4 linked regions of the Macaca fascicularis genome follow. The protein of the gene in region 1 binds, or shares a complex with, the protein of each later gene. Links are inferred from orthologs where the notes say so. Each region holds a gene or a part of one and is shown on either strand. Other genes may lie near its edges. The genes, in order: ODAD1, ODAD3, CLXN and ODAD4.

Region 1 (4,642 bases):
CTCAGCTCACTGCAACCTCCGCTTCCCAGATTCAAGCAATTCTCATGCCTCAGCCTCCAGAGTAGTTTGGAAGACAGGTGCACATCACCATGCTCTGCTAATTTTTGTATTTTCAGTCGAGGCAGGGTTTCACATGTTCACCAGGCTGGTCTTGAACTCCTGGGCTCGAGTGATCCACCCACCTCAGCCTCCCAAAGTGCTGGGATTACAGGCGTGAGCCACCACGCCCAGCCTGATTTTTTTTTAAGTTTTTATATAGCTTTGACACCAACGGATTAAATGCTGACAGGGAATTTGGCATGACTCAACTACAGCAAAGAGTTATCATGGCGTTCTAAGCCCTCTCACTCCTACACCCACCCCACCCCCCCCCCCCACCCCCGCTGCAGGAAAGGGTCAAGGTCAGCTTTTTCTCTGTGACCCTGCGACTGGAGTTAGGGCTGTCCATAAATAATCCTTCCTTTCTCTCCTTCCAGACACATGAAAAGACTACGCTTCCCGGTGCCCCTGTGAAGTTCGGGGTGACCAGGGGACCTACTCTGGCTGAGTGTAAGCTAAGAAGACAGGTGTCATATCAGGTCCAAGCCTCGCAAGTCACTGCCTGCTGTGCCATCCTCTCTTCTTCCTGTGCCAAAGGACTGGCAGCATTCCAGATGATGGCTGTGCCATGGGCCTGGGGGACACGGGTGATATGGAGGACAGCGCTTGGCTGGCCCACAAAGGAGAGAAACCTCTGCTGCCTGAGGACCACGGAGAATCTGCAGCTGTGACTGCCCTGACCAACACAGCTCCAGGAGAGGTCTCAGAAAAATGGATGAATAGGCCCGGCGTGGTGGCTCAAGCCTGTAATCCCAGCATTTTGGGAGGCTGAGGTGGGCAGATCACCTGAGGTCAGGAGTTCAAGACCAGCCTGCCCAACATGGTGAAACCCCATCTCTACTAAAAATACAAAAATTAGCCAGGCGTGGTGGTGGGCACCTGTAATCCCAGCTACTTGGGAGGCTGAGGCAGGAGAATGGCGTGAACCTGGGAGGCAGAGGTTGCAGTGAGCTGAGATCGTGACACTGCACTCCAGCCTGGGCAACAAGAGGGAAACTTCATCTCAATAAATAAATAAGAATGCTGAATGAGTGAGTGAATGAATGAATGGCAGGGAGTCGGGACAGGGTCACAGATGACCCCCAGGCCGGAGGTAGAGGAAGCAGCCATGCCTGAAGCCGGCTCTCCACACATAGGCTTTATTTCCACAGTCCCATTTTCCCATGCTGAACCTGGCATCTTCGCCCTGACTTTTCCCATGCCCGTCAGCACTAGAGGGCTCTTGGGGAGTGAGGAGCTGCAGAGAGAGGGACACAGGATGTATGCAGAGCCTGGGAGATGGAGACGAGGAGAGAGAGCCAGCAACAGAAGGTGGGGAATCCACAGGGGGTCAGGGCTCAGCAGACAGGGAAGGGGCAGATATGGAGACAAGAAGGACGGACACTGACTGGGAAGCCGAGAGAACAGGAGATCGGGAGGCAGAGGGAAAAGCAGGGTCAGGAGCAGAGAGAAAGGAACCAGGAGACAGAGGTGAGGCGGTGATGAAGGGCAGATGAAAACAGTTAAGAGGGGCAAAAAGACAGAGGCCTGGGACTGGGAGAAAAAGACAGGGACCCACAAGGCAAACAGGGAAGTAGAGACACAAAAAAAGACCTCTACAGAGAGCCAGGGCAGGGTGGGGGCTGCAGGCCCCTCGTGTTAGCCCCGGGAGTCTTTGCTGGTGGAGGAGCCGGGGCCAGTGCTGGAGGCAGGGCCGGTGCTGGAGACGTGGCCTCTGCTGGACCCGGGGCCTCCGCTGGAATCAGACGCTGTGCCTCCGCTCTCCACACCACCCTCTGTGTTTTCTCCGCCCCTGCTGGACCCCACGTATCCCGTGGAGCCCAGGTAGCTGCTGGTGCTGACAGGTCTGAAGGTCACGTGGCCCCCACTCGAGGCACTGGTGGAGCCAAAGGTCACGTGGCCAGTGTTGGGGTCACCGTGCGTGACGTGACTGGGCAAATGCCCCAGGCTGGATTTGAGGGGACCAAAAGTGACGCGGCCAAGAGAGCCACGGTCCCTGCTAGTCTTGTGGCTCAAGATGGACCCGGGGATGGTATGGGGTTGCCTGGTGGGCACCAGGATGGTACTGGAGCCAGCCCTCTGGGTGCTGGCCAGGTCCGCGCTCAGGGTGCCGTCCAGCTTCGCGTCGGCGTCGGCCAGGTCCTTCTGGCGCTGCGCCTCCGCCTGCTCCTGGAGCTGCACCTGCAGGGAAGGTGAGCTGGGCCCCGACGCACACTGAGGCCTGGCCCCACCCCCGAGGGCCCCAATCTCACCAGCTTCTCCACTTGGCTCAGCAGCTCCTCCCTGCTCATGGGGTAGTCATCGCTGGCCTCAAAACCTGGGGGGTCTTCTCTGGGGAGGGGAAGGAAAACCGGAAAAGACTAGACTCCCAGCCCTCAAAAAGGCCAGTGGCCCTTCCTGCTCAACCCCAGGAACCTCACTCATTCTCCCACCAGCCCTGAGTGCCCTCCCCTTCTGGGGTACCCGGGGCCCCGTCTTCCCACACAAAGGTGCCAAGCCCCTACTCCTTCTGGCTGCCTCAAAGCACACACCTCATATTCTAAACCCCCAGGGCCACATCCAGCAGCCAGTCCCCAAAAGCCCCCCAAAACCCTCTATCCTGTGTGTTCCCTCTGCCCCCATGGAAGCCCCGTCCCCCCTGCGTCCCTCCTGCCCTGCGCCTCACAGATTGTCAGGGGGCTGAAGTGGGGCCATCTTCTTCGGAAGGTCCTCCAGGCTCTGGCCCAGTGCCAGGAGGGCGGCGTCGGCCAGGGAGGTGAAGCTCTGGAGGGTGTGGAAGCCTGTGGTCAGCTGGGCCACCCCTGAGACCTGCCTCCCGTCCTGGCTCCCTGCCGCCTCCCACCTGGGCATCCAGGAAGGCCTGCACTGTCAGGAGCTCCACCAGCCGCTTCTCGATGAGGCTCAGGAAGAGGCCCATGTCCCGGTCCGCCATGCCGGTCTTGACCCCAAGGAGGTCATCGATCATGCTGCCGTCGCAATGGGCCTTGGTGAAGAGGAGCTGGATGTCTGCGTCATGGAGGGCCAGCTGTCAGGGATCTGGCACCGCCAGCTGGGTGCTAGCCCTCTCCCCACTCAGGTCCTCACTGCCCCATTCTACAGAGACTGCGATCAAGGCTCAGAGACCAAAAGGGAGTCACCCGAGCTCAGCCAGCCAGGCAGGGGGAGGGCACTGCTGTGCATCCCTCTCTCCCTGGCTTGTCCTTCAAAATCAGCCTCAGGTATCACTGCCTCCAGGAAGCCTTCCCAGTGACCCCAGCAGAGCTGGCTTGGTGAGTGTGAGACCCAGACGGTGGTGAGGGGCCTGCACTTGGCTTGACACGCTGCTGCTCTTCCTATCTTGAAAATCTTGGCAATTTTTTAATAAGGGGCCCCTCATTCTGCACTGGGCCCCACAAATTATGGTCTTGCACTGCAGACTGAGTTACGGCCTCCTCTCGCCCCCAGAGCCTGGGTGTCCTCCATCCTAGCCCCTGAGTGATGAGTGCCCAGTGCTCAGGTCAGTCCCCTCCAGGGCCTCTCCCCACCGTGCCCACATCACCTAGCACAGGGCTCGGCTCAGCCGTCACGACAGCGGGAAGGGGGACCTGCCCATATTTGAGCTCCTACGGTGTGCCCCAAGGGGGCTCCCCAGATCGCTCCCCACCACCCCCCACCTTTCTCTCCATCTGTCATCCCTTCTAATTCTCATGACAACCCTGCAAAGAAGGCACTGCCATCCCCATTCCCAGAGGGGCTCACAAGGAGGAAGCCACACACCAAGGTTCATAATTGGTGGAGCTGAGATTCAAACCCAGGACAGGCTGGGTGCAGTGGCTCACGCCTGTAATCCCAGCATTTTGGGAAGCCAAGGCAGGCAGATCATTTGAGATCAGGAGTTTGAGACCAGCCTGGCCACCATGGTGAAACCCTGTTTCTACTAAAAATACGAAAAAACTAGCCGGGCATGGTAGTGCGTGCCTGTAATCCCAGTCACTCGAGAGGCAGGAGAATCGCTTGCACCCAGGAGACGGACATTGCAGTGAGCCGAGATCACACCACTGCACTCCAGCCTGGCTGACAGAGTGAGATTCCATCTCAAATAAATAAATAAATAAATAAATAAATAAATAAATAAATAAATAAATAAATAATAAAAGCTAACAATAAATGTAAAAAAAACCCAAAAAAACAAAAAACAAAAAACAGGACAGCCTGACTCCTGAGTGCTCTGCATGGCTACTTCCTGAAAAATAAGAAAGATGAGGCCAGGTGTGGTGGCTCACGCCTGTAATCCCAGCACTTTGGGAGACCGAGGCGGGTGGATCACCTAAAGTCAGGAGTTTGAGACCAGCCTGGCCAACATGGCAAAATCCACTCTCCACTAAAAATACAAAAATTAGCTGGGCGTGGTGGTGTGCTCCTGTAATCCCAGCTACTAGGAGGCTAAGGCAGGAGAATCACTTAAACCCAGCAGGGGGAGGTTGCAGTGAATGGAGATGGTGCCACTGCACTCCAACCTGGGGGACAGAGCGAGACTCTCTCTCAAATTAAAAAATAATAATAA
Region 2 (5,100 bases), about 44 Mb from region 1:
AGGCATGGTGGCTCATGCCTGTAATGCCAGTGCTTTGGGAGGCCAAGGCTGGAGGATTGCTTGAGCCCAAGAGTTCGAGACCAGCCTGGCAACATAGTGAAACTTTGACTCTACAACAAATACAAAAGATTAGCCAAATGTGGTGGCGCAGGACTCTAGTCCCAGCTACTCGCCAGGCTAAGGTGGGAGGATCATTTGAACTGGGGAGGTCGAGGCTGCAGTGAGTCATGTTCGTGCCACTGCACTCCGGTCTGGGTGACAAAGCAAGGCCTTGTCTCAAAAAATAATTTTTTTTTTTTTTTTTTTTAATTTGAGACGGAGTCTCGCTCTGTCGCCCAGGCTGGAGTGCAGTGGCCGGATCTCAGCTCACTGCAAGCTCCGCCTCCCGGGTTTATGCCATTCTCCTGCCTCAGCCTCCGGAGTAACTGGGACTACAGGTGCCCACCACCTCGCCTGGCTAGATTTTTGTATTTTTTAGTAGAGACGGGGTTTCACCGTGTTAGTCAGGATGGTCTCGATCTCCTGACCTCGTGATCCGCCCGTCTCGGCCTCCCAAAGTACTGGGATTACAGGCTTGAGCCACCGCGCCTGGCCTCAAAAAATAATTTTTTTTTTTTTTTTTTTTGAGACAGAGTCTCGCTCTGTAGCCCAGGCTGAAGTGCAGTGGCCGGATCGCAGCTCACTGCAAGCTCCGCCTCCCGGGTTTACGCCATTCTCCTGCCTCAGCCTCCCGAGTAGCTGGGATTACAGGCGCCCGCCACCTCGCCCGGCTAAGTTTTTTCGTATTTTTTAGTAGAGACGGGGTTTCACCGTGTTAGCCAGGATGGTCTTGATCTCCTGACCTCGTGATCCGCCCGTCTCGGCCTCCCAAAGTACTGGGATTACAGGCTTGAGCCACCGCGCCTGGCCTCAAAAAATAATTTTTAAAATTAAAAGGCTGGGCATGGTGGCTCACGCCTGTAATCCCAGCACTTTGGGAGGCCGAAGTGGGTGGACCACTTGAGCTCAGAATTTCATGACCAATCTGGGCAACATGATGAAACCCTGTCTCTACCAAAACTACAAAAACGTAGCCAGGCGTTGTGGCATGTGTCTGTGGTCCCAGCTACTGAGGATGCTGAGGAAGAAGGATCACTTTAGCTCAAGGGGCAGAGGTTGCAGTGAGCCAAGATCGAGTCACTGTACTCCAGCCTGAGTGACAGGGTAAGACCCCATCTCAAAAAACAAAACAAAATAAAACTGGGCTGGGTACAGTGGCTCATGCGTGTAGTCTCAGCACTTTGGGAGGCCCAGGAAGGAGGATGGTTTGGGCCCAGGAATTCGACACCAGCCTGGGCAACATAGCGAGACCCTGCCTGTATAAATTTTTTTGTTTGTTTTTTGGTTTTTTTTGAGACGGAGTCTCACTCTGTCGCCCAGGCTGGAGTGCAGGTGCATGATCTCGGCTCACTGCAAGCTCCCCCGCCAGGTTCACACCATTCTCCTGCCTCAGCCTCCCAAGTAGCTGGGACTACAGGTGCCCGCCACCACGCCTGGCTAATTTTTTGTATTTTTAGTAGAGATCTGGTTTCACCATGTTACCCAGGATGTTCTCGATCTCCTGACCTCATGATCTGCCTGCCTTGACCTCCCAAGGTCCTGGGATTACAGGTGTTAGCCACCGCGCCTAGCCTAAACAATTTTTTTAAAAGAAAAAAATGGCCAGAAGTCAGCCGGGTGAGGTGGCTCACGTCTGTAATCCCAGCACTTTGGGAGGCCGAGGCAGTTGGATCACCTGAAGTCAGGCATTCGAGACCAGCCTGGCCAACATGGTGAAACCCTGTCTCTACCCAAAATACAAAAATTAGCCGGGTGTGGTGGCACATGCCTGTAATCCCAGCTACTTGGGAGGCTGAGACAGGAGAATTGCTTCAACCTGGGAGACGGAGGTTGCAGTGAGCCAAGATCGTGCCAGTACACTTCAGCCTGGGCAACAGAGCGAAACTTCTTTTCAAAACAAAACAAAACAAAACAAAAATTAGCCAGGTGTGCTGGTGGGAGCCTGTAATCTCAGCTACTTGGGAGGCTGAGGAGGAGAATGGCGTGAACCCAGGAGGAGGAGGTTGCAGTGTGCCGAGATTGCCCCACAGTACTCCAGCCTGGGCGACAGAGCAAGACTTCATCAAAAAGAAAAAAGAAAAGAAAAGAGAAAAAAATTTTTGTTTTAAATTTGTAGAACCCTGAGCCGATGTAAGATCACCAAGGTGGTGGATATAGACAGAGAGAAGACCCTGGTGCTCTCTCTCCAAAAACAGCACAGAAGGGGTGGCCAGGGAGGTGGGTAGAAAACGGGAGAGGGGAGTCCTGGAAGATATGGGAGAAGGAAGGGAAGAAGGGCTAGATGTGTGTCGGGGTAGGGTGTTCAGGCCCCTGCTTTCGCTCCCCTCCTTGCAGCAGGCCCTGGAGCACCTAGACCACCGGCTGAGGGAGAAGGTGAAGCAGCAGAACGCCCTGCGTTACCAGGTGGTGTTGCGGAAGAGGCGGCTGGAGGAGCTCCAGCTGCAGCACAGCCTGCGCCTTCTGGAGATGGCGGAGGCGCAAGACAGCCACACGGAGGTGGCCAAGGTAGGGGCGGGTGAGGCCTGCAGGGCAGAGGGTCGTGTGGGAGGGACTGAGTGCGGAGGGCCCTCAGCCCAGCCCTGCTGCTCTCCAGACCATGCGGAACCTGGAGAACCGCCTGGAGAAGGCCCGGATGAAGGCGCAGGAGGCCGAGCACATTACCAGCGTGTACCTGCAGCTCAAGGCCTATCTAATGGTAGGGACTTGGAGGGCTCGGGTGAGATGGCAAGCAGGGAGGGCGGGCTTAGCCAGGGACAACAGTCACAGGCCTGCCCCATCTTCCCAACCGCTCCCCATCACGCCCCAGGACGAGAGTCTTAACTTGGAGAACCGGCTGGACTCCATGGAGGCTGAGGTGGTGAGGACCAAACATGAACTGGAAGCACTGCACTTGGTGAACCAAGAGGCCCTCAATGCTCGGGACATTGCCAAGGTGCCACCCCTCTTGCTCTCAGCCATCCTGCCCAGATGCCGCGGTCTCCCAGCTTGAGAATCTGACCTCAGCTGTCCCTGAGCTTCCCCAACGCCCCCGCCCCCATCTATCTCCCAGCACCCTGCGGCGGGCAGCGATAGGTGCCAGCTGGTCTCCCTGCTCCCCTGCCTGCCCTCCAGAACCAGCTGCAGTACCTGGAGGAGACCTTGGTTCGAGAGCGCAAGAAGCGAGAACGCTACATAAGTGAGTGCAAGAAGCGTGCCGAGGAGAAGAAACTGGAGAACGAGCGCATGGAGCGCAAGGTGGGCGCACCCAGGGGTGCGCGCCTGTGACTCCAGCCCTGCCGGGCACAAACCAGCCATGCCCTGGCTCTACCTCATCCTAGGCCTTCTCCCGCTTCCTAAGGTTCTCCTAACTCCGCCCCCTCTCTGACTTCACCCCCATTTAGTGCAAAGACTCCTCCCACATCTCTGACCCCGCCTCTCCTCCCCTCCCCTCCTACGCGACAGCACCATTTTGGCTCTGACATGGCCTCCAGCCTTCCCCTTGCTCAGTGACTCCTACCCATCCTTTCCCAACTGACTAGACTGCCTGTCCTAAATCTGACCCTGCCTCTAACCCAACCCTTGCTTAAGGCTCCGCCCCCTCACTCTTGGCCCCGCCCCTGCACCTGCCCTGAGGCTGCCACTCATCCAGCCCTCACCAAGGTATTTTTTTTTTTTTTTTGAGACGGAGTCTCGCTCTGTCTCCCAGGCTGGAGTGCGGTGGCGCGATGTCGGCTCACTGCAAGCTCCGTTTCCCGGGTTCACGCCGTTCTCCTGCCTCAGCCTTCCCAGCAGCTGGGATTACAGGCGCCCGCCACCACGCCAGGCTAATTTTTTTTGTATTTTTAGTAGAGACGGGGTTTCACCGTGTTAGCCAGGATGATCTCGATTTCCTGACCTTGTGATCCGCCCGCCTTGGCCTCTTAAAGTGCTGGGATTACAGGCGTGAGCCACCGCGCCCGGCCAAGGGTTTTTTGTATTTTTTTTTTTTTTTTTTGGTAGTTTTTTCTGTGTGTGTGTGTGCGTATATATATATATTTTTAGACAGGGTCTCACTCTGTCGCTCAGACTAATTATAGCTTACTGCAGCCTTGAGCTCAAGCGATCCTCTCACCTCGGCCTCCCAAGTAGCTGGGACTACAGGCGCCCTACCACGCCCTGCTAATTTTTGCATTTTTTGTAGAGATGGGGTTTCGCCATGTTGCCCAAGCTGGTCGCGAACCCCTGGGCTCAAACGATCCTCCGGCCTCAGCCTCCTAAAGTACTGGAATGAAAGGCGTGAATCACAGCCACCACCACCCGCGCTCGACCTTGTCCCACTTTCTGCCCGGGTGCCTTTATCTGGCCCCAAGCTTTTGCGCTCTCCCTTCTCTCCAGTTTGAGCCCTGTTCCCTCCTGGGCCCCAGTCTGGATCCCCCTCCCCGGCCTCCGCCCTAAGCGCTGTCCACGGGCTGACCCTGGCTCTGACCTCAACCCACGAGCAGACGCACCGTGAGCACCTACTGCTACAGTCTGAGGACACCACCCAGGACAGCCTGCATGCCAAGGAGGAGGAGCTGCAGCAGCGCTGGAGCATGTACCAGATGGAGGTGATCTTTGGCAAGGTCAAGGACGCCACTGGCACTGCCGAGACGCACGTGAGTTCTGCCCGCAGCCCTCTCCGCCCTGCCCCGTCCACCCCAGATGGGCCCCAGGGGTGCCCAGGCTGGTGAAACCGGCACACCCTGCCTCCCCTCTCTGCCAGGTCAGTTCTTCAGCTCACAAACCTACTCCTTTCTTGAAAAACATCCCTTCCCCCTCCAGCTACCGTTCAGTTTTCCTGCTGCCCTTCACAGCAAAACCCCCAGGAGCTGTCCACACTCGCTGTCATTTCTACACTCGCCTTCCGTTCTCTCTTGAACCATGCTAATTCCTTTGCCGTGCCAGCTCTAGGAGAACTGAGTTTCCTCTCTTGTTCTGTCTCCAGTGTCTGTAACATGGTCTGTGACCCAGTAGACCGCTCAGATCCTGGCAAGTGGGGTCCCT
Region 3 (5,740 bases), on another chromosome or scaffold:
CATCAAAGACATCAAATAGGTAATTGTCAATAGAAGACTCTCCTGTTTTGAGATTAATGACCCTTAACTTAATAGAAATTAAAGAAGTAGCATACCCTCCAAACAGGAATTCTCATGTTTAGGGAAAAGATATGAAAATGTTAGCCAAGTTACTGGAATAATGATAGTGGTGTCAGATTCTAAACTCTACAAGGCTGGTAGATATATGACTCAAAATAAGAATGGTAAGATTAAAAAATGGTAACTTTTTCTCAATATTTTTACTATGGCATTCATGAGATTTACAACTTCTTTTCCCTGGAAATAGATGTCAGGTTCATGAGAACTAGGTAACGATTTTCATTTCACTTTAGGCTTCATGAATTCATAAGCCAGATTTTGGAAACTAGAGTCACCAGTTTTCCAATAAAAAGCTTTAAAGCATATTTTAGCACCCAATATGGCTCTTCTTGAGGATTATGTAAAAATTGACATGCAAGTATTCAGTAATAGTTTGGAGGAAGGACATTTTTATTTAAAGGATATATACACACACAGATACTTGCTCATACACATTATTGTATAAAGGACCATGGTTATAAATACCGAGTTAATTATTTGTGTTCCAATCCCCATTTGAGAATGTAGGTGGAAGGGTTATTGCCTGGTCTTGATAATATAAAAGCCCAAATACCAAGTATGGGAGGAAGTTGGGGAAAATTTATTTAGAAACCAGACAAAACTATGATTGAGCATTTTAACAAACAAGGACAAAACCTGCATGTGTATAACAGAAGACAGCATCTAGGAATGGAAAAATCACACCTCATCCTAGAGGTCAGTACAGGCTTTTGTGAGATATCTGGTTTGGAGAACCACATTTAAAGAGAAACACTAAAAACTTTGGGAAAAAAGATTCAGCAAATAAACAGTAGGAAACAATATAATGGTTATGATTTTAAAAACAGCTGTTAGTCACTGGAAAGCAGTATGATGGCGCTTCATAAAAATTAAACACAATTATCGTATGATCCAGGAACTCTACTTCTAAATACATACTCAGAAGAACTGAAAGCAGGAACCTGCACAACAATGTTCATAGTGTCATTATTCACAACAGTCAAAAGACAGATGCAAGAGTCCATCAATGGAGGAATGGATAGACAAAATGTGGCGTATTCATACAACGAAGTATTATTCAGTCTTAAAAAGGAAGAAAATTCTGACACATAGATGAACATTTATGGACATTGCACTAAGTCAAATAAGCCAGGCACGAAAGGACACATATTGTATGATTCCTCATATATGAGGTACTTAGTCAGATTTATAGAGACAAAGTAAAATGGTAGTTGCCAGGGGCTAGGATGAGGAGGGAATGGTGAGTTAATATTTAATGGGTAGAGTTTCCACTGGGGACGATGAAAAAGTTCTGGAGGAGGATGTAAGCACTTAAAATGGTTAAAATAGTAAATTTCATGTTACATGTAACCGCATATACACACACACAAACCTCTTAAAAAGCAAGAGCTATTAGTGGTTGGGGAAGAAAAACCTGCATGAAGAATGATGTACTCTGTTCATGTATATAAAATGGTAGTAGAGGGGATGTTGGTTAGCCATTTTTCCATCTCAGCTGAAATAAAAATTTTAAAAAGTTAGTTTAATTTATTACCCAAAGGATCAAAGGTTAGCCATAAGAAAACTTTTATTGCTAAACATTTCTTAAATTCTAGAATACAATATTAAATGAAACTGAAGAAAATTCAAGAACAGATTTTCATCTTCTTGGAATGCTCTAAATGTGTCCTGCAGAACATATCTGTAGAATGGTGCATGAACTAGATGCTCTCTTAAGATCTTTCACTCTTCTTTGATTCTACAAAATTTATCCATTGACTCTTGATAGTTTTATTGTCTTGCAACTAAAACAAAATTTAACTTTAGGGGAAAGTTCCTTCTGTTAAAGAAAATTTAAAATTATTATAATACCCATGACTTATAACTATTTCTATAGACTGTAATAATCATCTAAGTTTGTAAGACTCATTAAAATTTTTTTAGTAAATAAAAAAATCAAGAGTAGACTTTTTCCTGCCATATTTTTAATTATCTTTAAAAATATACACTCACCTTTTGATTGTTTACAGAATGATTGTTTGCAATGCATTCAAACTTACTGAACAGAGACTAACTCAAATTCAAACTTATGGAAAGGGACAAAATCAGTATTGTGTATAGCAGCTATTGCATTGTTTTTGAATATTTATCAAAAATGTTTACTAGATGTTTACTAGAAGAATACCTATTCTTCTCCCAGAAATGAAAGTGTTTTAAGAAAAACAATAACAGAACAAAACTCTCATCAGAGTATAGTAGTCATAATAATACCTTAAATTACAGGATTTTTTTTCCTAGACATTTTAAGATGCTTACACATACCATAACATTCATTTACGTCACCATCCCACTAAGAGAGCATTTCTTACCAGGTATTAAATCAGACACTAATGATAATTAGAATGCACTAGATCTTATGATCTCTAAAACTACATCAACACGTTTATTCCTTCTTCTTTGAGCAATGCAGATATTTGGGGAATTGTTGCTTCTGTTTCTTCAAGTGACCAGTAGATTTGCAATGAACACACAACTTCTAAGTTTGCTCGACAGGCAATATCTTCCTCATCTAAACCATACCCACGGTTTCCTTGCTCAAGTGCAATTATGTTTTTCAGTCTGAATATAAACTCAAAGTTTCCTATGAAATTCCAGTACCACCCTTTCAAATGCGAGATTAGAGCAGGTGCCTTCAAATAGGGCTCATCTTGTCACCTGCAAAGTCTCCTTTATCTTTCAACACTAGGGGCCACAGGAAAGTGGGAGTCTAAAGTTGGGAATCCATTCTTTTCCGCGTGTTTAGTTGTGCTGAACTCTGTTTTCCAAACAAATCTTGTTCTGAGGCACAGATGAGATGACACAACTAACATCTCCTAAAGATGTTGAGAAGTTGAGCACCGTTTTCTCCTATGGGTCTCTTGGTAAGCTTCCAGAACTTGTACCTGCGAGTGTATATGCGAGCTAGAAAGCAGGGTGAGTGCACGTTGGTGGTGGTACTTTTCTTGAGACCAGTGGGTTTTAGCATTTATTTTACACCTCACTGAGGCTAACATCACGTTTCTATCAGGTAAAATAAGAGGCTTGGAGAAGCAAGTAAATGCATGTGTGGGAGTGTAGGTAGCACTAGAGGTGGAGGCCTGGGTTCCTAAGATCAAACCCAAGGAGCTAGCACCCCGGGGATTCACCCACTGACTTACGCCTAAGGGGCCGGAGTGGAGGGGCGGTAGGTAGCCCACACAAGCCCAGGAGGCCGGAAGCAGGCAGAACAGCGGACCCTGGCACCGGGTGGGACCCAGGTTCGGTCCAGGAGCCTCGACTTGTCCAGCACTAGATTCTTACTTACAATGCTTGCAATTTTTAGCTAAGGTGTCTGTCAGCTTCTGCAGCTTCTTGCGGTTCATGCCTGGCCCTCAGAGAATGGGGCCGCGGCGGGGGTCTCGGGGCGCACGGCTGCCGAGACTCTCCCGGGACCCCCGCGAGCCCTGGTGCTGGGGCAACGCGGTGAGGTCTCAGTCACTGATAGCGTGCGCTGCCCTAACAGACGGTGTAGCCAAGGCAACGGCTCGATCCGCCGCGGATTGGCTCCCAGGCTGCCCGCGACGTGGCCATGGCAACAACTGAGCTCCGCCCATCGGCTCAACGGCGGCGTGCGCTAGGTCCTGCGTGCGCGGTGCTGCCTGCAGGGTCCCAGCTGGCCGCCTTGAGGGCTGTATTCTGATTGTGGACGTTGGAGTTTAAATGTTCAGTTGTTGCTGGCTTTTGAGTTCGCAACCTTTTTGCTTGATTGCAGTGTAAATGATTAAAATCTGAAATGTGGTGTGTACGCTGTATGAGAGGTGTTTCGGGTGGTGAGCGTCACGCGTCAAAGGGAAGCCTAAGATCTTGGACATCCTGGGGGCTGGAGCAGCGTCACAAAACAGCAAGGGTGCTGTCCAGAGGACTGTCTCGCCGGGCCTCCTGTCGTAGGGCGAGGAGCTTGCTCTTTGGGCGGAGCCACGCTTAGGCTGTCAGTCTTGGTGCGGTAACAGGAGGCAGTTTGTCACCTGAGGTCTTCAAGCTTTTAGTTGTGTTTCTGAGAGCAAGGGGAAATTGGAATACAGCCACGGGTTGTCTAAGGATGGAGATGCGTTCTGAGGTCACGAGGAGATTTCATCAGTGTGTGCACATCACGGTGCACCGACACAAACCTAGATGGCCTCGCCTACTGCACGCCGGGCTGTATGGTACAGCCCATTGCTTCTGGGCTGCACACCTGCACAGCAGGTCACTGCGCGGAATGCTGCAGGCAGCTAGGACAGAGTGCTAAGCACTCTGGGGAAGGAGCAGTGTTCCAGTACAGTGTTATATCTTATGGGACCACTGTCCTAATGTTGTCTGACATTGACTTAAATGGCGCTATGTGGCTTGTGACTGTAGTTTTTTTTTCTTTTCCCACTGCCCTCATCTCACTCTCAAAAGGTGGAAGTTGTCTGTGGAATCTGAATAAAGTCACTAGGAATTTTTATACTGCTTAAATAGGCATTCCCCCCAATGAAAACAGGGGCTGACAACTACCACTTGGGTGTGGGATACAGCCCAATCTTGCTTTTCTGGAAAATATCTCAGTAACCTTGGTCCTTGACTTATTTGAAAGACAGGTTCTGTGTCTGCAGACAAAGGATAGTCCTTACATCTTCAGTGTGGGAGGACTTTCTGCTTTTCCTGACCACAGAGGGGATACCTCCCTTTCAGCTAAGGCAGCAACAAAAAGGGGTGGCTCAGCCAGGAGCACCAAATCTACAGTATTCTCCAGAGTGCCTGCTTGTTTAACTTCAGAGGGGAAAATGACAAACTATGTTATTGTACACATACTGGCATTTTTAGACTGAAGCAGAAAAATTCTACTAACCATGAATAATAATCCCAAATGAAATAATTCCAATGTCAGGGCCTCTGGTTTCTCTTTACTGTTTCATTTGTTTTTGGAATGAAGGATTGGGATGCTGTCTGAAACTAGAGCAAAGGGTGCTTGGTAAAGGCATGGACTGTATTTTATCCTAAAGCAAATGACCTAACAACAGCTACCTGATATGAATTGATGGTGATTATGAATTTGTAACAGTAGCCTTTTTAAATAGTGTTTCTACATATCCCCTTGTCTAGAAGAGTGAAATTCCTGAAACCATAGAGAACAAAAGGGAAAGACTGGACATATTTGAATTATACTTACCTGTGACACCTTATTGATTTCTGTTAGATCACAGAGCTGTAGCAAATACTTAATTCCTAGAGATTGCTGCACTGCTCACTTCAAGAGACAAGGTACTGAAAGAGTGGTTGTCAGTAATTACTAAGAGGCACTGTGGGCTCCCTGTCTGATGTACTAGGCCTGTGTTGGGGAGCAGGCCTGCGCTGCTGGTGAGCACATTGGTGGTTATTTCTGGGGGCCTGGGGAGATCGCACACACTGGGTGCTTGCTACAGCTGAGCGAATTAGTTATTCCTTCACGAGTTTCAGGCCCAGAGCCCATCAACCATATTCTCTTAAAGTTAAAACAATAATAAAAAGATGTAGGGGTAATATCACAGATTGTTGAAATTAAAATGCGCCAGGCCAAAACTTCTTAACCTGTTGAGCAAACTTTTTAAGCCACCTCCTCCTT
Region 4 (5,100 bases), on another chromosome or scaffold:
TCTGCTGGGCTTTTATAGTCTAAGAAAATGGAGGAACACCCAGCAGAGCTTCAGCAAGGAGCAGAATATACCCAGCCATGGCCCTATGGTCTGTGATCCCAGATTCCTCCAACTCCAGGACCTTTCTGTGGGCCAAGAGCCATGGAGTATGCCTGGTCGGGTTGCAGCTAGACTCCCAAGACCCCTTCTCAGGCACACACAACCTCTTCCCTTGGAGGGATACAACCGCAGAACCAGGGCCCTTACCTCAGCCTGCTTGCTTAAGAAGGAGAGGTCCCCTTTGTTCTCCAGCTTAATGGAAGAAGGACCTGCAAGGAAAGAAGCTGGAGCTCAGGTCGGCCAGGCCCCCACGGCCAGAACCCCCACGCATGATCTATAACATATTTTTAGGTGGAAATGGCTGCCTTTGGCAGGGGGATGGTGGAGGCTGTGGCAAAGCTGGCCTTAAGCCAGCCTAGTAAGCAAATGGTGCAGGCTGTTTGGTATAACTCCTAGGAGCTAACAGCCCCCACTAGCCCAAGGCTATGGCAGCCAGATTTCCAGACAAAGGGAGGCCAAGGGTACAGGGGAAACTGTCCATTTCCAGGCCCTGCCACCCACAGAGCAAGCTCTCACTTGTTCTCACTTGCTTCCCTTCTACCCCTGCCTTAATGCTGATGGCTAAGGCCAGCCCTTGGTATACGTGTGGTGAGGGAGGAAGCCAGGGACTACAGAAGGCTGGGCTCAGGACCGCGTTCTAGCTTTTGACACCAGGCTAAAGACAGGCCTACTTCGAAACAGCCCTTCTAAGCTGACCTTTAGGAAAACCCAAGGCTGCAGCGCTCAGAGATCAGTGTGTTCGTCAGGGAATGGTCCTCCCGGCGGACAGGTGGCGCCGGCCACCACGCCCAACTAATCCTCAACAACACTGCAGCAGCCAAATCCAAGTGTGGGACTCCCTGCAGGCCTGGTGGTGGCTGCTCACCTGCTGTACCTCAGCCTTCCTCTAAACCTAAGGATTCCAAGGACCTTCCTGGATAAGTGCATAGGCCCTGTGGCCACTCACTTCCCACTGAGTTGTTGATGGCTTCCTGGGCTTTCTGAATGCCAACTTTGAATTCCCGATCAGGCCTCAGCTTGTAGCCTCGATGATAGAATACCAAGGCAAACTCAAAGTCTCCCATGGTGTACAGTGTCTCAGCCTTTTGTAAAATCCCCTGGAATGGGAGGAAATCAAATCAATGTGAACAGATAAGGCCTTATAGGACTCACATGTGGTGGAACAGAAGGGTCCTGGGTTGAGGGTCAAGGTTGGAATACAGGGGGCAGGGACTTAGGCAATGACCTACGAAGAGAAAACGGCATCAAACACTAGGCAGTCTGGCTGCTTCTACTTGTAACAACTACTTGTTACAACTACTTGTAACCCGCAGCTGCTGCAGGCAATAGCAGGATCGAGTCCTCCCGCCCATGCAGTCACCTTACAGAAAGTTGGGTCACTCTGGAGCGAAGCCTCAGCATCCTCCAGGGATCTCTCCAAGTCTCCCATCTTCAGGAAGCACTTTGAGCGAGCAACCAGGCAGTTCTTGTCTCCATCCTGAAGGTAAAGAGCCTGACAAAGAAACCAGTCAGGTTGACAGCCAGCATGAAGAGCAAGGTAGAAGCTGCAGTGGGAAGGGCAGCCCAAACCCTCCTGCAGAGGTTCAAGGGGATTCTTCAGGCCAGCACACAGGCCTCTGGCTCCTAAGCAGCACAACTCCGATCTGCACTCAGTCAACTTGATTATCTGCACATGGCTCACCTTGAACAAGGTCAAATCATGGCTATGATGGAAACCACTGGCTGAAGAGTGGGAATATGCTACTCTGTGGATACGCTGACTTTCTGCCAATGTCTGAGAGCCCCCCAGTCTCCTCAGGCAATAGAACTATAGGGTATTTTGTGCACACCAAACTCAACCACAAACCCGAAATGGCAACACATCATACTCAAAGTAAATTTCAAAGGCTAAGCATTCTGAAGTGGACTTGAGGACAATCTGCCATGTGGGTTAACCATTCCAGTAGCCTTCTCTTTTTATGTAGCTAATCAAGAACTAATCACTATACCCGGGAATTACGATGAAAGTGCCAGGAAAAGGCTGGGAGTGGTGGCTCACGCCTGTAATCCCAGCACTTTATTTGTTGTTGTTGTTGTTTTTGAGTCTCAGCTCTGTCACCCAGGCTGGAGGGCAGTGGCCCCATCTCAGCTAACTGCAGGCTCCGCCTCCTGGGTTCATGCCATTCTCCTGCCTCAGCCTCCCGAGTAGCTGGGACTACAGGCGCCCACCACCACGCCCGGCTAATTTTTTTGTATTTTTAGTAGAGACGGGGTTTCACTGTGTTAGCCAGGATGGTCTTGATCTCCTGACCTTGTGATCTGCCCGCCTTGGCCTCCCAAAGTGCTGGGATTACAGGTGTGAGTCACCACGCCCGGCCAATACGAGCACTTTGGCAGGTTGAGGTGGACGGAATGCTTGAGCCCAAAAGCAAGCTCCGCCTCCCGGGTTCACACCATTCTCCAGCCTCAGCCTCCCAAGTAGCTGGGACTACAGGCGCCCACCACTGCGCCCTGCTAATTTTTTTGTATTTTCAGTAGAGACGGGGTTTCACTGTGTTAGTCAGGATGGTCTCGATCTCCTGACCTTGTGATCCGCCCGCCTTGGCCTCCCAAAATGCTGGGATTACAGGCATGAGCCACCACACCCGGCCAATACGAGCACTTTGGCAGGTCGAGGTGGACGGAATGCTTGAGCCCAAGAGTTTGAGACAGGATTTTGCCATGGCAAAACCCTGTCTCTACAAAATACAAAAAAATTAGCTGGGTGTGGTGGTCCATGATTGTAGTCCCAGCTACTCAGGAGGCTGAGATGGGAGGATTGCTTGAACCTGGAGAGGTCGAGGCTGCAGTAAGCCATGATCACACCACTGCACTCCAGCCTGGGTGACAGAATGAGACTCTGTCTCAAAAAACAAAACAGGCCGGGCGCGGTGGCTCAAGCCTGTAATCCCAGCACTTTGGGAGGCCGAGGCGGGTGGATCACGAGGTCAGGAGATCGAGACTATCCTGGCTAATATGGTGAAACCCCGTCTCTACTAAAAATACAAAAAACTAGCCGGGCGTGGTGGCGGGCGCCTGTAGTCTCAGCTACTTGGGAGGCTGAGGCGGGAGAATGGCGTGAACCCGGGAGGCGGAGCTTGCAGTGAGCCGAGATCACGCCACTGCACTCCAGCCTGGGAGACACAGCGAGACTCCGTCTCAAAAAAAAAAAACAAAAAACAAAAAACAAAAAACAAAACAAAACAAAAAGAGGCCGGGTGCAGCGGCTCACACCTGTAATCCCAGAACTTTGGGAGGCCGAGGCGGGTGGATTATGAGGTCAGGAGTTCGAAACCAGCCTGGCCAACATGGTGAAACCCGTTTCTACTAAAAACACAAAAATTAGCCAGATGTGGTGGTGAGCACCTGTAATCCCAGCTACTCAGGAGTCTGAGGCAAGAGAATCGTTTGAACCTGGGAGGCAGAGGTTGTAGTGAGCTGAGATCATGCCACTGTACTCCAGCCTGGGTGATGCAGTGAGACGCTGTCTCAAAAAAAAAAAGCCAGGAAAATGAAACTGTGATTTTGACACTAAAGTGGGGTTGAGGGAAATTTTCCCTCTCTTCTGTGTGAGATGATTACCATAGTCTGTGGTGTACTGTCCTTCCTGAGGCATCTAACTGTACCCACCCCTCTTTTTCTTTTTTGAGACAGTCTCACTCTGTCACTCAGCCTGGAGTGCAGTGGCACGATCTCTGCTCACTGCAACTTCCGAGTCCCAGGTTGAAGCAATTCTCCTGCCTTAGCCTCCCGAATACTTGGGACTACAGGCGCCTGCCATCACGCCTGGCTAATTTTCTTCTTTTTTTTTTTTTTTTTTTTTTGAGACGGAGTCTCGCTCTGTCGCCCAGGCTGGAGTGCAATGGCGCGATCTCGGCTCACTGCAAGCTCCGCCTCCCGGGTTCACGCCATTCTCCTGCCTCAGCCTCCCGAGTAGCTGGGACTACAGGCGCCCACAACCGCGCCCGGCTAATTTTTTTGTATTTTTAGTAGAGACGGGGTTTCACCGTGGTCTCGATCTCCTGACCTTGTGATCCGCCCGCCTCGGCCTCCCAAAGTGCTGGGATTACAGGCGTGAGCCACCGCGCCCGGCCCTTTTTTCTTTTTTGAGATGGAGTTTCGCTCTTGTTGCCAAAGCTGGAGTGCAATGGCACAATCTCGGCTCACTGCAACCTCAGCCTCCTGGGTTCAAGCAATCCTCCTGCCTCAGCCTCCGGAGTAGCTGGGATTATAGGCACTCGCCACCACACCTGGTTTATTTTTTGTATTTTTAGTAGAAACGGGGTTTCACCATGTTAGCCAGGCTGGTCTCGAACACCTGACCTTAGGTGATCCACCTGCTTTGGCCTCCCAAAGTGCTGGGATTACAGGCCTGAGCCACCTGACCTGGTCTTTTTTTTTGAGATGGAGTTTCACTCTTGTTGCCCAGGCTAGAGTGCAATGGCACAATCTTGGCTCACTGCAACCTCTGTCTCTCAGGTACCCAGCCCTTTCTAAGACCTTATGACTTTTCTAAGAAGAGGAAGTAGCTACTGTCTTTCTGGAAAGTGACTACGTCTCATCCAAGGCTACCCTTCCCTCAGGGTGTTCTTTTTCTCTGCCGGGGTACTTCAGGATGGGACATGATCCAGCAGGAGGAGAATAAGTGGGGACAGGGCTTCTGAACTCAATTGTTCACTTATCTGGTCATCATTTCTGGTTTTAGGGTATGGTTGGTGACTGAAAGGGACAAACAACTCTGGGGAGCTGTTGAGAAGCTTGATCTTACAGGAAGTCTTGAGACTGAAGGGTTATCCTACCACTCTATCTAGAATAAGAAGTGGGCAATTTGGAGCAAAAGAAATGGTCATAAAAACATCTTTTTAGGGCACTGTAGCTCATACCTGTAATCCTAGCACTTTGTGAAGCCAAAGCGGGAGTATTACTTGAGCTCAGGTGTTCAATACCAGCCAGGGCAACATAGCAAAACACCTGTCTCTACAA

Evidence for each region.
Region 2: the proteins of ODAD1 (region 1) and ODAD3 are in contact, whole or in part, in a cryo-EM structure (PDB 9CPB), measured with the Bos taurus proteins. The link is inferred for Macaca fascicularis from reciprocal best matches to the Homo sapiens genes ODAD1 and ODAD3. Residues at the interface, in XP_024834988.1 of Bos taurus: Leu31, Gln32, Gln34, Cys35, Met38, Glu41, Arg42, Tyr45, Val49, Arg52, Ile53, Gln56, Leu57, Glu59, Ile60, Leu63, Glu64, Val66, Arg67, Leu70, Arg71, Gln73, Ile74, Ala77, Gln78, Asp86, Arg89, Leu90, Ser92, Met93; in NP_001095517.1 of Bos taurus: Gln69, Leu73, Lys76, Ile77, Leu79, Leu80, Asp83, Arg84, Phe87, Tyr88, Thr91, Asn94, Ile95, Asn98, Gln99, Thr101, Ile102, Leu105, Arg106, Glu108, Thr109, Leu112, Gln113, Gln115, Leu116, Leu119, Gly122, Asp123, Val126, Ala129.
Region 3: ODAD1 (region 1) and CLXN share a complex: the UniProt entries of both Homo sapiens proteins name them as parts of the outer dynein arm-docking complex. The link is inferred for Macaca fascicularis from reciprocal best matches to the Homo sapiens genes ODAD1 and CLXN.
Region 4: ODAD1 (region 1) and ODAD4 share a complex: the UniProt entries of both Homo sapiens proteins name them as parts of the outer dynein arm-docking complex. The link is inferred for Macaca fascicularis from reciprocal best matches to the Homo sapiens genes ODAD1 and ODAD4.

Annotation. Positions count from the first base shown.
Region 1 is NC_088393.1:56,283,483-56,288,124, forward strand, and holds the end of ODAD1 (outer dynein arm-docking complex subunit 1), read right to left. Parts: intron 3,106-4,642; coding exon 2,942-3,105; intron 2,863-2,941; coding exon 2,765-2,862; intron 2,431-2,764; coding exon 2,352-2,430; intron 2,281-2,351; coding exon 1,738-2,280; 3' UTR 1,223-1,737; downstream 1-1,222. UniProt on the Homo sapiens protein: Component of the outer dynein arm-docking complex (ODA-DC) that mediates outer dynein arms (ODA) binding onto the doublet microtubule. Involved in mediating assembly of both ODAs and their axonemal docking complex onto ciliary microtubules.
Region 2 is NC_088393.1:11,990,794-11,995,893, reverse strand, and holds part of ODAD3 (outer dynein arm-docking complex subunit 3), read left to right. Parts: intron 1-2,433; coding exon 2,434-2,604; intron 2,605-2,692; coding exon 2,693-2,794; intron 2,795-2,905; coding exon 2,906-3,031; intron 3,032-3,210; coding exon 3,211-3,333; intron 3,334-4,559; coding exon 4,560-4,712; exon of another isoform or gene 4,713-4,819; intron 4,820-5,100. UniProt on the Homo sapiens protein: Component of the outer dynein arm-docking complex (ODA-DC) that mediates outer dynein arms (ODA) binding onto the doublet microtubule. Involved in mediating assembly of both ODAs and their axonemal docking complex onto ciliary microtubules.
Region 3 is NC_088382.1:58,624,326-58,630,065, forward strand, and holds the start of CLXN (calaxin), read right to left. Parts: upstream 3,611-5,740; 5' UTR 3,501-3,610; coding exon 3,443-3,500; exon of another isoform or gene 3,297-3,442; intron 1-3,296. UniProt on the Homo sapiens protein: Component of the outer dynein arm-docking complex (ODA-DC) that mediates outer dynein arms (ODA) binding onto the doublet microtubule. Seems to regulate the assembly of both ODAs and their axonemal docking complex onto ciliary microtubules.
Region 4 is NC_088390.1:62,973,596-62,978,695, reverse strand, and holds part of ODAD4 (outer dynein arm-docking complex subunit 4), read right to left. Parts: intron 1,592-5,100; coding exon 1,460-1,591; intron 1,325-1,459; exon of another isoform or gene 1,252-1,324; intron 1,197-1,251; coding exon 1,046-1,196; intron 309-1,045; coding exon 247-308; intron 20-246; coding exon 1-19. UniProt on the Homo sapiens protein: Component of the outer dynein arm-docking complex (ODA-DC) that mediates outer dynein arms (ODA) binding onto the doublet microtubule. Plays an essential role for the assembly of ODA-DC and for the docking of ODA in ciliary axoneme.